Linked DNA regions of Rattus norvegicus. The protein of the gene in region 2 binds, or shares a complex with, the protein of the main gene of each other region. Links are inferred from orthologs where the notes say so. Each region holds a gene or a part of one and is shown on either strand. Other genes may lie near its edges.

Region 1 (4,603 bases), on a different chromosome or scaffold from region 2:
GTATCTCCTCCACTCTCTGTAAGCACCTCAGCAGGACTTGGCTCTTTTCCTGGAGGAGTGGCCCATACCTTCATTCCTGATGGGTCTGCATCCTTTGCCATCCTGCTTGGATTAGCCTGTTGCAGTTTCCCATTGACTTTAATCATAGGACATGGTAGTACCAAGAGATGGCCTAAGGGATCTCCTTCACTCCAGAAATAATCCTTCTCACCTCCATTGTGGAGAGGCAATCCAATTTCCCCATGGTAATCCAGATTTATCACCCCTCCTAACACTGCTATTCCTTTCTTAGCCTGTTGGCTAAGAAATGACCAGGGGGGAGTCTGAGCTTCCAGTTCAATGGAATGTTTGTTGTGGCTCCTGGTAGGAGCACTCCCCGCTCTAGAACCAAAACTTCTAGGCCAGCAGAACCTAGAGTTGTGGGGACAAGAAGCAAAAATTTTCCTAGAGGATCAAGGATAGTCAAGTTGACAACCAGGAATAGCTACTACAATAGGTTAAATAAAACTTATTAAAGTATTCAATGCTTGGATTTTGGTGTAACTGGTTTGTTTGTTTGTTTGTTTGTTTGTTTTGGTGTCAAGTGCCTTTTTATTTCTTTATTTTATTGGATGATTTTATTTACATTTCAAATGTGACCCCCATTCCCGGTTTCCTGTCCGTAAACCCACGATACCATCCCTCCTCCCCCGTCTTGTATGAGGGTGTTCTCCCACCCAACCACCCACCCCTTCCCTCCTCCCTTCCCTGAACAGGGTCTCACTGTGTAGCCCTTGCTGGCATGGAACTCCAGATGTAGACCAAGCCGGGCTTGAACTAACACAGATCTACCTGTTTCTGCCTCCCAAGTGCTGGAATTCAAGCCATGAGCCACCACACCCAGCCTCATATTGTAGTTTTAAACCTATTAGAAAGCATTAAAAAACACATGGGTTCGCCTTACATCATTATACTGGGCAGCCTATTGTAATATCCATTCAGGGCTTGGCCACCTGTGGTGTCTCCAGTGCCTACGGTGGGCTGGTTCAGAAAGAAGCCTAGGATGGTTTCTTTAAGGATAAGGAGTAGTTACACAGAATGCCACACACCTCCCCGCTCCCCAAGATCAATTCATTTTCCTTTAATAAGTATCTTAGGACCAGGCCTGCAGGAAACTGAAATAACAGCCCTGCTCAGAGTGATCCTGCTCTCTATCAAGTGATCAAAGCTGAACTCTGAAGATCTGGGAAATCAAAGACTGGCTGCCCTTTTCCTTTCTGGAGAAACAGAGTTCGGATGTCATGGACATTTTAGGGTCCGGAGAGCAATGACTTCTCTGTTGAAACCAGACTGCAAGAAACAGGGAACTGAAGAGTGAAAGGGGAAGCTGTGGAAGAACGGCCTGAAGAAAAGGAACTGGGAAGAACAGAAAGCTAAAAGTGAAGAAGGAAGGAAAAGCCAGGAAGGGGGGAGGCTCAGCGGGAGATGGGCGAGGGAGTGGTAATGGGAGCTATCTGACTTGGGCAAAAGCAGACTAGAAGCTGACAGAAGACAGAGGGCGGGGCAGTTCGGAGGAGGAGGCGGGGCCAGGAGTAGGGCTAGAGGGCAGACGGAAAAGGGAGGGTGGCCGCCGGAAAAGGAGGAGCCAAGAGAGGAGGGCTGGTCTCTATCTCTCACAATTGGGTAAAAGCCGCGCTGTCCTCTCCTCTGCACCGACTCTGTCCTGCGGAACCATGGCCAGCCCGCTGCGCTCCTTGATGCTACTGCTGGCCGTCCTGGCCGTGGCCTGGGCCGGAACCTCCAGGCCACCCCCGCGATTGTTGGGAGCTCCGCAGGAGGCAGATGCCAGCGAGGAGGGCGTGCAGCGAGCGTTGGACTTCGCCGTAAGCGAGTACAACAAGGGCAGCAACGATGCGTACCACAGCCGCGCCATACAGGTGGTGAGAGCTCGTAAGCAGGTACGTGTCCCCGCTGTTCCCTGCTCTCCAGAAGTCTCCAAACCGCTTCCACCCAGGCTCCCCTGGCTAGGGCGCGGTTTGCAACTGCAGGGACTTAGTCAACTGCTTTGCTTCTCTTGGGAGCGTGGTCCTTCCCTTCTTCTCAACCCTCCTCAATGTGTTAACAGGGTCATTCCTCTTTTGTTTATATTGGAACCCAGAAGAGCACAACGTGTGGGTACCTGTCCTCCTAGCTCTATTTCCAAAAGACCACTGAGCGAGCGGGGTACTAAAAGATGTAGGTCAGAGGCTGCCTGGGTTCAGTTCGCCACCATTATCCACCTGGGGTCAATGTCAACTGCTAATGACCTGGGAGAAGGATAAATAATTCTCATTGAATAAGCGCCCTACTTGAAACTTTCTGACAGACAGGCAGATTTCGTCCCATCCTTCCAGTAAATACTTGGCCCTGTTTGTTCCCACCTCTTTGCTCTACTCAGGAGCATATGTACCTGGGTGGGTGTTTAGAGTCACTCATTCTTGTGAATACTTTCAGAGTAAACACTTCCCGAAAACAAGGGCATTCTCTACATACCAAAGATTCCATTTGGAAAATTGGGAATCCACAGATACTCAGTTCCTAAACTCAAAGCCTCACTTAGTTTGCTGGTCACCATTGTGGACTCTCCTAGCAAGAGCTATTTCTATGCGGTCTGGCAGCCTGGTTGTTTTGTTTTGTTATGTTTTTTCTGAGCACTGCCTGCGCTGCCTTGCTGTTCTTAGCAATGTGGAATGGTCCAGACAGCTGTGGTGATCAGTCCTCTGCCACTTGCTGAGGTTCCTTTTAGTCATGACTCGGTTTGTGACAGGGTGGTCCTCAAAGGTAAATGACCCTGTGATGGATACTGCAGCCATATTGGCTTCTACCTGTGCTTTTTGATTCTCCACAGTGTTCCCAGGGCACATTTCTCAGAAGGGGCCCCTATCCTTAAGAGACACGTGATTGTAGACTGGCACTGAGTCTCTTGACTCTAATGTTGGTGCAGGTCACCAAGCAGGTCCCCTCTTGAGTCTTCTCTGAGGTTCTGTCTAGCTTCCCGCTAGTTGTGACCCTGGAAAGTCCTTGGGAGCAGCCTCAGGGGCTTTGCTAATTGCCCCCAAGATAAGCACAAATCACCCTCCTCCCACTGAGTAGAAGGAGACTACCTTAGATCTAGACTCTGACAGAGGAACTAGCAGCCAGAGCTCATAGGTCTCAAAGTTGACCCAAGAGAGGGCCAGATTTTAGACCACAAAGGGTTGTATCCCAGTGGATAAAATTCATTTCTACCTTCCCTTAAAAATACAAAGAAGTTAAATCCTGCTCTATTTCTGCTGCTGCTGTGATCAACCTTCAGAAAAGTCATCTACTTCCCAGCTGCCTTGGACCTCAATGGCCAGTGCACCTCTTAATTGTGGCAACAGATGGAGCAAAGTGTAGGGAGTTATAGGTTATTGGGTCTGTGGGTCTCGTTTGACTGGTAGGAAAATCAGGACATTCCCCAAATCAAGAGCTATGTTTCTGGTCCCACAGGGCAATACACAGAGCCCTGCCCATACCTCCCACCTAGGTCCCTCAGTCTGCAGTCTGTCCTTACATTTCTGACAAGTTGGTCTAGCATGCCCCATTCTGGGGAGAGGGACAAGTGCTATTCTTAAATTGCAAGTGGAAGACCTACAGGTGAATGATATGCTTGAGGAAATTCTGGAGAATCTTACTGAAGGACAAGACATTTAAGGGCTGTCTTTCCTCTGACTTGAAACATCCCTGTGTGTGAAGCATCCCATGTCCTCTTGTCCCTGGAAGGAGGGAGTCTTGGGTAAATAAATGTGTTCTCTCCAGGTTGCACAATAAATGGAGAAGGTCTGGCTCTCCTCCAGTGGCAGTGTCTAAGCCTGAGGAATGACAGTCAGCAGGACTGAGTTAATCCCGTGCTGCCCCCAAAGCCTTTGCTTATGCTCAGAACAATCCTAGGCTCCTAGAACGCCCTGGCTGTCTTTCCCCTGATGCTTTCCTTTCTGACTCTCTGAAAGGTTTGTCAGTCTGAGCTTTTGCCTTTTGTGCTCTGTTTCTCCTCTTACTCAACTACATGTGATACCCTTGTCAGAGTTGCTCAAAATAAAAGAATTACTAACAGCCTGAGGCCACGTGTCTGGAAGATTTGGCTTGTATTCTCTGTGGGTGAGATTTCTGGCTGCTTGTGAATCCAGGCATAAGTCCTAGGTAAACACTTCAGGTCTGCGATGGAAGGCAGCTAGCTGTGTGTAAATGATTTGACTGGACTGTTGAATCCTACTCTTTTTCACTGTAGCTTGTGGCTGGAATAAACTATTATTTGGATGTGGAGATGGGCCGAACTACATGTACCAAGTCCCAGACAAATTTGACTAACTGTCCTTTCCACGACCAGCCCCATCTGATGAGGGTATGTACTTGTTATTGTCCTAAGGGCAATCATACGGGCAACGGTTTTGATAAGTATTACATTGTGTGGGGGAAGTGCATGAGTAGGGAATGGTGGTTCATGAATGGATACAGGTGAATGTTGGGCACATGTATGTTCATGCCAATGCAATGTGTGTGCCCATGTAGGGGAAGGGTTTATGTACACATGATTAATTTAATTGCCAAATGAATTTATCCTGGG
Region 2 (3,807 bases):
CATAAATATTTTGAGAACAAATATATCTATCTTCCCTTTCTGATTCCTCAACATAATTTGTCATAGGTTTTAGTAAATAAACTACAATAAATATCTAAGAGAAAAATGAATTTTAAAAACATGAAAAAATGAACAGCCAGATATGACACCAACAGCAATGTTTTTTTAAAGTTGAGCCATTGATTTGCAACTGTTATTAAAATCAACTTTGCTTATAAAAAGCAAGATTTGTAATTCGATCGTGATTTGTTTGGATAACAGCTGAACTTTTACATTAAACATTACAAAGCCTCAACTAAGGGACAAGTAAAACACTCAGACTTGAGCTTGCACTTTCACAAGGGACAATGACGTCATATCAGTTCACATTAGTACCATGGTCCAGAACACTTTCCACTTCACTTCTATTTTGCCACTGCCCAGCGGGGCTCCTAGTGGGAGTTGGCATAGAGTCTGTTCTTGATGAAGACAACACTAGACAGATGCTGCCTGATGTCTGGGTAATGTTGAATGTGGCAAAACCAGCGAGACACATTAAGATATTTCTCCTTTTCTTGAACTCTCATCAACTATAAAGCGGTGGAACCCGTAGTACAGGAGGATGTCCGCCAGGGTAGTGTTATGTCCTGCAAGGTAGATTTTGTCTTCCAGATAGGAGTTGAGATCCTTCAGCAGAGTCTGGTGTCTTCTTTGTGGTGTGTCCATCTACTCGAGTGATCCTGAACTCTAACCACTGCTGAACTAGTGCCTTTTCTTCTGCAGTGCTCCCCAGCAAGTGCTCCCTGTTGGCTTGCTTGACCAGATGGGTTGCAATGGTGCTCAATCTCATTAGACTGGGGCCATTGTTTGACTGTAGGACTGGAACCTGTCATTCGCCCTGAGTGCTGTACTTATTCCCCGGCTTCAGTCCCAGACTCTTCTCTAGAAGCCTCAGCTCCAAGGCGGCCGCCATCTTCTGGCCCAGCTCCTGGGGGGGAGAAATTCTCATTCTTAAGAAGTAGAATCTCAGAAAGAGAAAGGTCTGCAATCCAGGAGAGCAAACGCTAATGGTAGCCGCACTTTCTGAGAGATTGCTGTGCGTAAGTCGCGTCTGCAGTTCTCATGTGAATGGAGTCTCTCGGGGCACACAGGAATCTCATTAACTTTAGTATCACTCACTTTCTTGTTCTTTTGAGGCAAGGTCTCTTGCCCAGGTTGGCCTCCAACTTAGTTTATGACTGAGTTTTTGGTCTCCGTTCTGTTGCCTCCACCACTTAAGTGATGGAGTTACATGTATGTACCACCAAGTCCAACTTACTCTCATTTTAAAGGTGAGGAGACTGAGGCCAAGTCAGGGTTAGAGTTTAGAAGGACTGTCTCCAGAGCTGTACTGTAAAGTCCCCACTATACGTCAGTTAAAGGAGTCAGTGGTCACAATTTTCATCAGCAGGGACAGTAACTGGGCTTTACAACAAAGAGCACTTGTGCCTGACATCATAAAGTGCATGAAGTCTTATCAGGGTAACAGAAAGACACACCCTCTGTGAAGGATGATGACTGACAGTTCCTCTGTATGTTTCTCAGGGCCAGTGTGGTTCCTGTTGGGCTTTCAGCTCTGCGGGTGCCCTGGAGGGCCAACTCAAGAAGAAAACTGGCAAACTCTTAGCTCTGAGTCCCCAGAATCTTGTGGACTGTGTGTCTGAGAACTATGGCTGTGGAGGCGGCTATATGACCACTGCCTTCCAATATGTGCAGCAGAATGGAGGCATTGACTCTGAAGACGCTTACCCGTATGTGGGGCAGGTGAGACCACCGCAGTGTGCAGCCCTATGCTGCGTCTTCCCCTGACATGGTTCTGTTTTCTCTTACTGTATCCTGCCCCCCCTTTTCCTTTTAATTTGAGACAGTATCTTACTATGTATCCCAAGCTAATCAGCTAGGTATCCTAGGCTGCCCCCCTTTTTTGAGAGAAGGTCTCAGGTAGCCCATATTGTCCTTGAACTCACTATGTAGCTGAAAACAACCCTGAATTTATCTTACCTCAACTTCCAAGTGCTGGGGTCACAGGCCTGGGTTCCAGACATGGCTGTCCTGCTTTCTTTCTTTTTTTTTTTTTTCTGTCCTGCTTTCTTTTTTTTTTTTTCTGTCCTGCTTTCTTAATAGAATTATTTGCTGTAGAAAGCCAAAATTCTCATCATCTTGGAAGACTTTGAGCCACCTCTTCAGCCCTGTGATGAAGAATTCCTGGTGATATGAACCTTTGAGAGAGGAGCTGCACGTTTCAGTGGTGAAAATGCAGTGTGAAAGTGTGCACTCAGTCAGTGGTGAGAATGTAGTGTGAAAGTGTGCACTCAGTCAGTGGTGAGAATGCAGTGTGAAAGTGTACACTCAGTGTGTTTTCCTAAAAGGGCAGCTGCTCGCTAATACTTAAGGAGATGTCACACGTACTGCCATACGTACCCAAACTAAGATTTCATAAAGTTTGTTAGTGTGTAACTGTATGAATGGTGTACGTGTGTGTCCAGGTGGGCTGTACCATAGCATGCGTGTGAAGTAGAGAAAACTCTGTGGACTCTCTCCTTTAGGTCCTGAGGACCAAACTCTAGTCATCAGGCTCATTTAGCTAAAGTCTTACCAGCTAAGCCACCTTGCCAGTACCCCCAACAGGATGCCCAGGTCTGCTTATCTGCGCAGCCTTTCTTCCCATGCCCCCGTGTGAGATGGAATCCAGGGGACATTACTTTGCAACATAGTCACCTGGGTGTGGAAGCGTGTGTATCTTTACATTCACTATGTAATGCCAAACTGTTGCCAGAAACTACTCCTGCCTGCCGTCTGTAAGAAATCCCCTGACACACAGTCACATCTTCATCAGTATTTCCCTGGTCATCTGTACTTCTTCTAAACTGATAATGAGGCCCAGTGTGGATGCCGGGAATTCCAGCACATGGGAGGTAGAGGTGGGAGGATTAGGAGTTCACAGTCACCCTAAGCTACCTGGGGAATCTGAATGTAGCCTCTCTGAACAGAGAATGGGATAAAACACCAAAACCCAAAATAGAAAATACAGACCCTCTAAGTAAAGTCTAATCTGCTCCCTGTTGATTTACTGACATTATTAAATATATTTCCCACTCAACAATTTAAGGATAGATTTGAGAAAAGTAATACCAAATTCACTTAACAAATGACAGCTTACGTCTTTTTAGAAGATTTTTTTATGTATATAAGGGTTTTGCCTGGCATGTATATATTATGTGTTTCCCTGGCGCCCCCAGAGGTTAGAAGGACATTCGATCCCCTGGAACTGTTGTCACAGATACCGTGTGGTGCTGGGAACCAAACCTGGGTTCTCAGCAAGAAATGGTACTTGTCAGGGCTGCCCTTCTAGCTCAGCTCACATGATTTATCCAACACTACACTGTTTGCTGAAAAATAGTTTCTATGTCCTGGTATGCGTGTGTGTGTGTGTGTGTGTGTGTGTGTGTGTGTGTGTGTGTGTGTGTGTGCCCATGATATTATTGTCCAGATTGGCCTGGACTCACAGAGATCCAGCTGCTCTCCCTTCTAAGTGGTGGGGTCAAAGTCCGCAACATGCCAGGCCCTGATTTTCTTTTAAGTCCATTCCTTTATTTCATTTGTGCCTTTCTCTCCCCAACCCCCCTTCTCTTTTGAGACCATGCAATGCCAAGGCTTACAGACTGCACTCCTCTTGTATCACGCTGAGATTGCAGCGATGTACCACTCTGTCTGGTTGATCTGAGCAGTCTAATACCAGAGTCATGGGGCAGAAAATGGACTTTGAGAAATTAAGGCAGTAAATCACTG

What was found.
Region 1: the proteins of Ctsk (region 2) and Cst3 are in contact, whole or in part, in a crystal structure (PDB 8V57), measured with the Mus musculus proteins. The link is inferred for Rattus norvegicus from reciprocal best matches to the Homo sapiens genes CTSK and CST3. Residues at the interface, in NP_031828.2 of Mus musculus: Asn132, Gln133, Gly134, Gln135, Cys136, Gly137, Cys139, Trp140, Glu173, Asn174, Tyr175, Cys177, Gly178, Gly179, Gly180, Tyr181, Met182, Ser248, Ala251, Ser252, Gln257, Phe258, Val274, Asn275, His276, Ala277, Ser297, Trp298, Ser301, Trp302; in NP_034106.2 of Mus musculus: Pro27, Arg28, Met29, Leu30, Gly31, Ala32, Pro33, Gln75, Leu76, Val77, Ala78, Val80, Asn81, Tyr122, Pro125, Trp126, Lys127, Thr133.

The regions. Positions count from the first base shown.
Region 1 is NC_086021.1:156,790,978-156,795,580, reverse strand, and holds the start of Cst3 (cystatin-C precursor), read left to right. Parts: upstream 1-1,643; 5' UTR 1,644-1,712; coding exon 1,713-1,937; intron 1,938-4,267; coding exon 4,268-4,381; coding exon of another isoform or gene 4,382-4,498; exon of another isoform or gene 4,499-4,603. UniProt on the Homo sapiens protein: As an inhibitor of cysteine proteinases, this protein is thought to serve an important physiological role as a local regulator of this enzyme activity.
Region 2 is NC_086020.1:185,750,418-185,754,224, forward strand, and holds part of Ctsk (cathepsin K precursor), read left to right. Parts: intron 1-158; exon of another isoform or gene 159-1,516; intron 1,517-1,563; coding exon 1,564-1,782; intron 1,783-3,807. UniProt on the Homo sapiens protein: Thiol protease involved in osteoclastic bone resorption and may participate partially in the disorder of bone remodeling. Displays potent endoprotease activity against fibrinogen at acid pH. May play an important role in extracellular matrix degradation.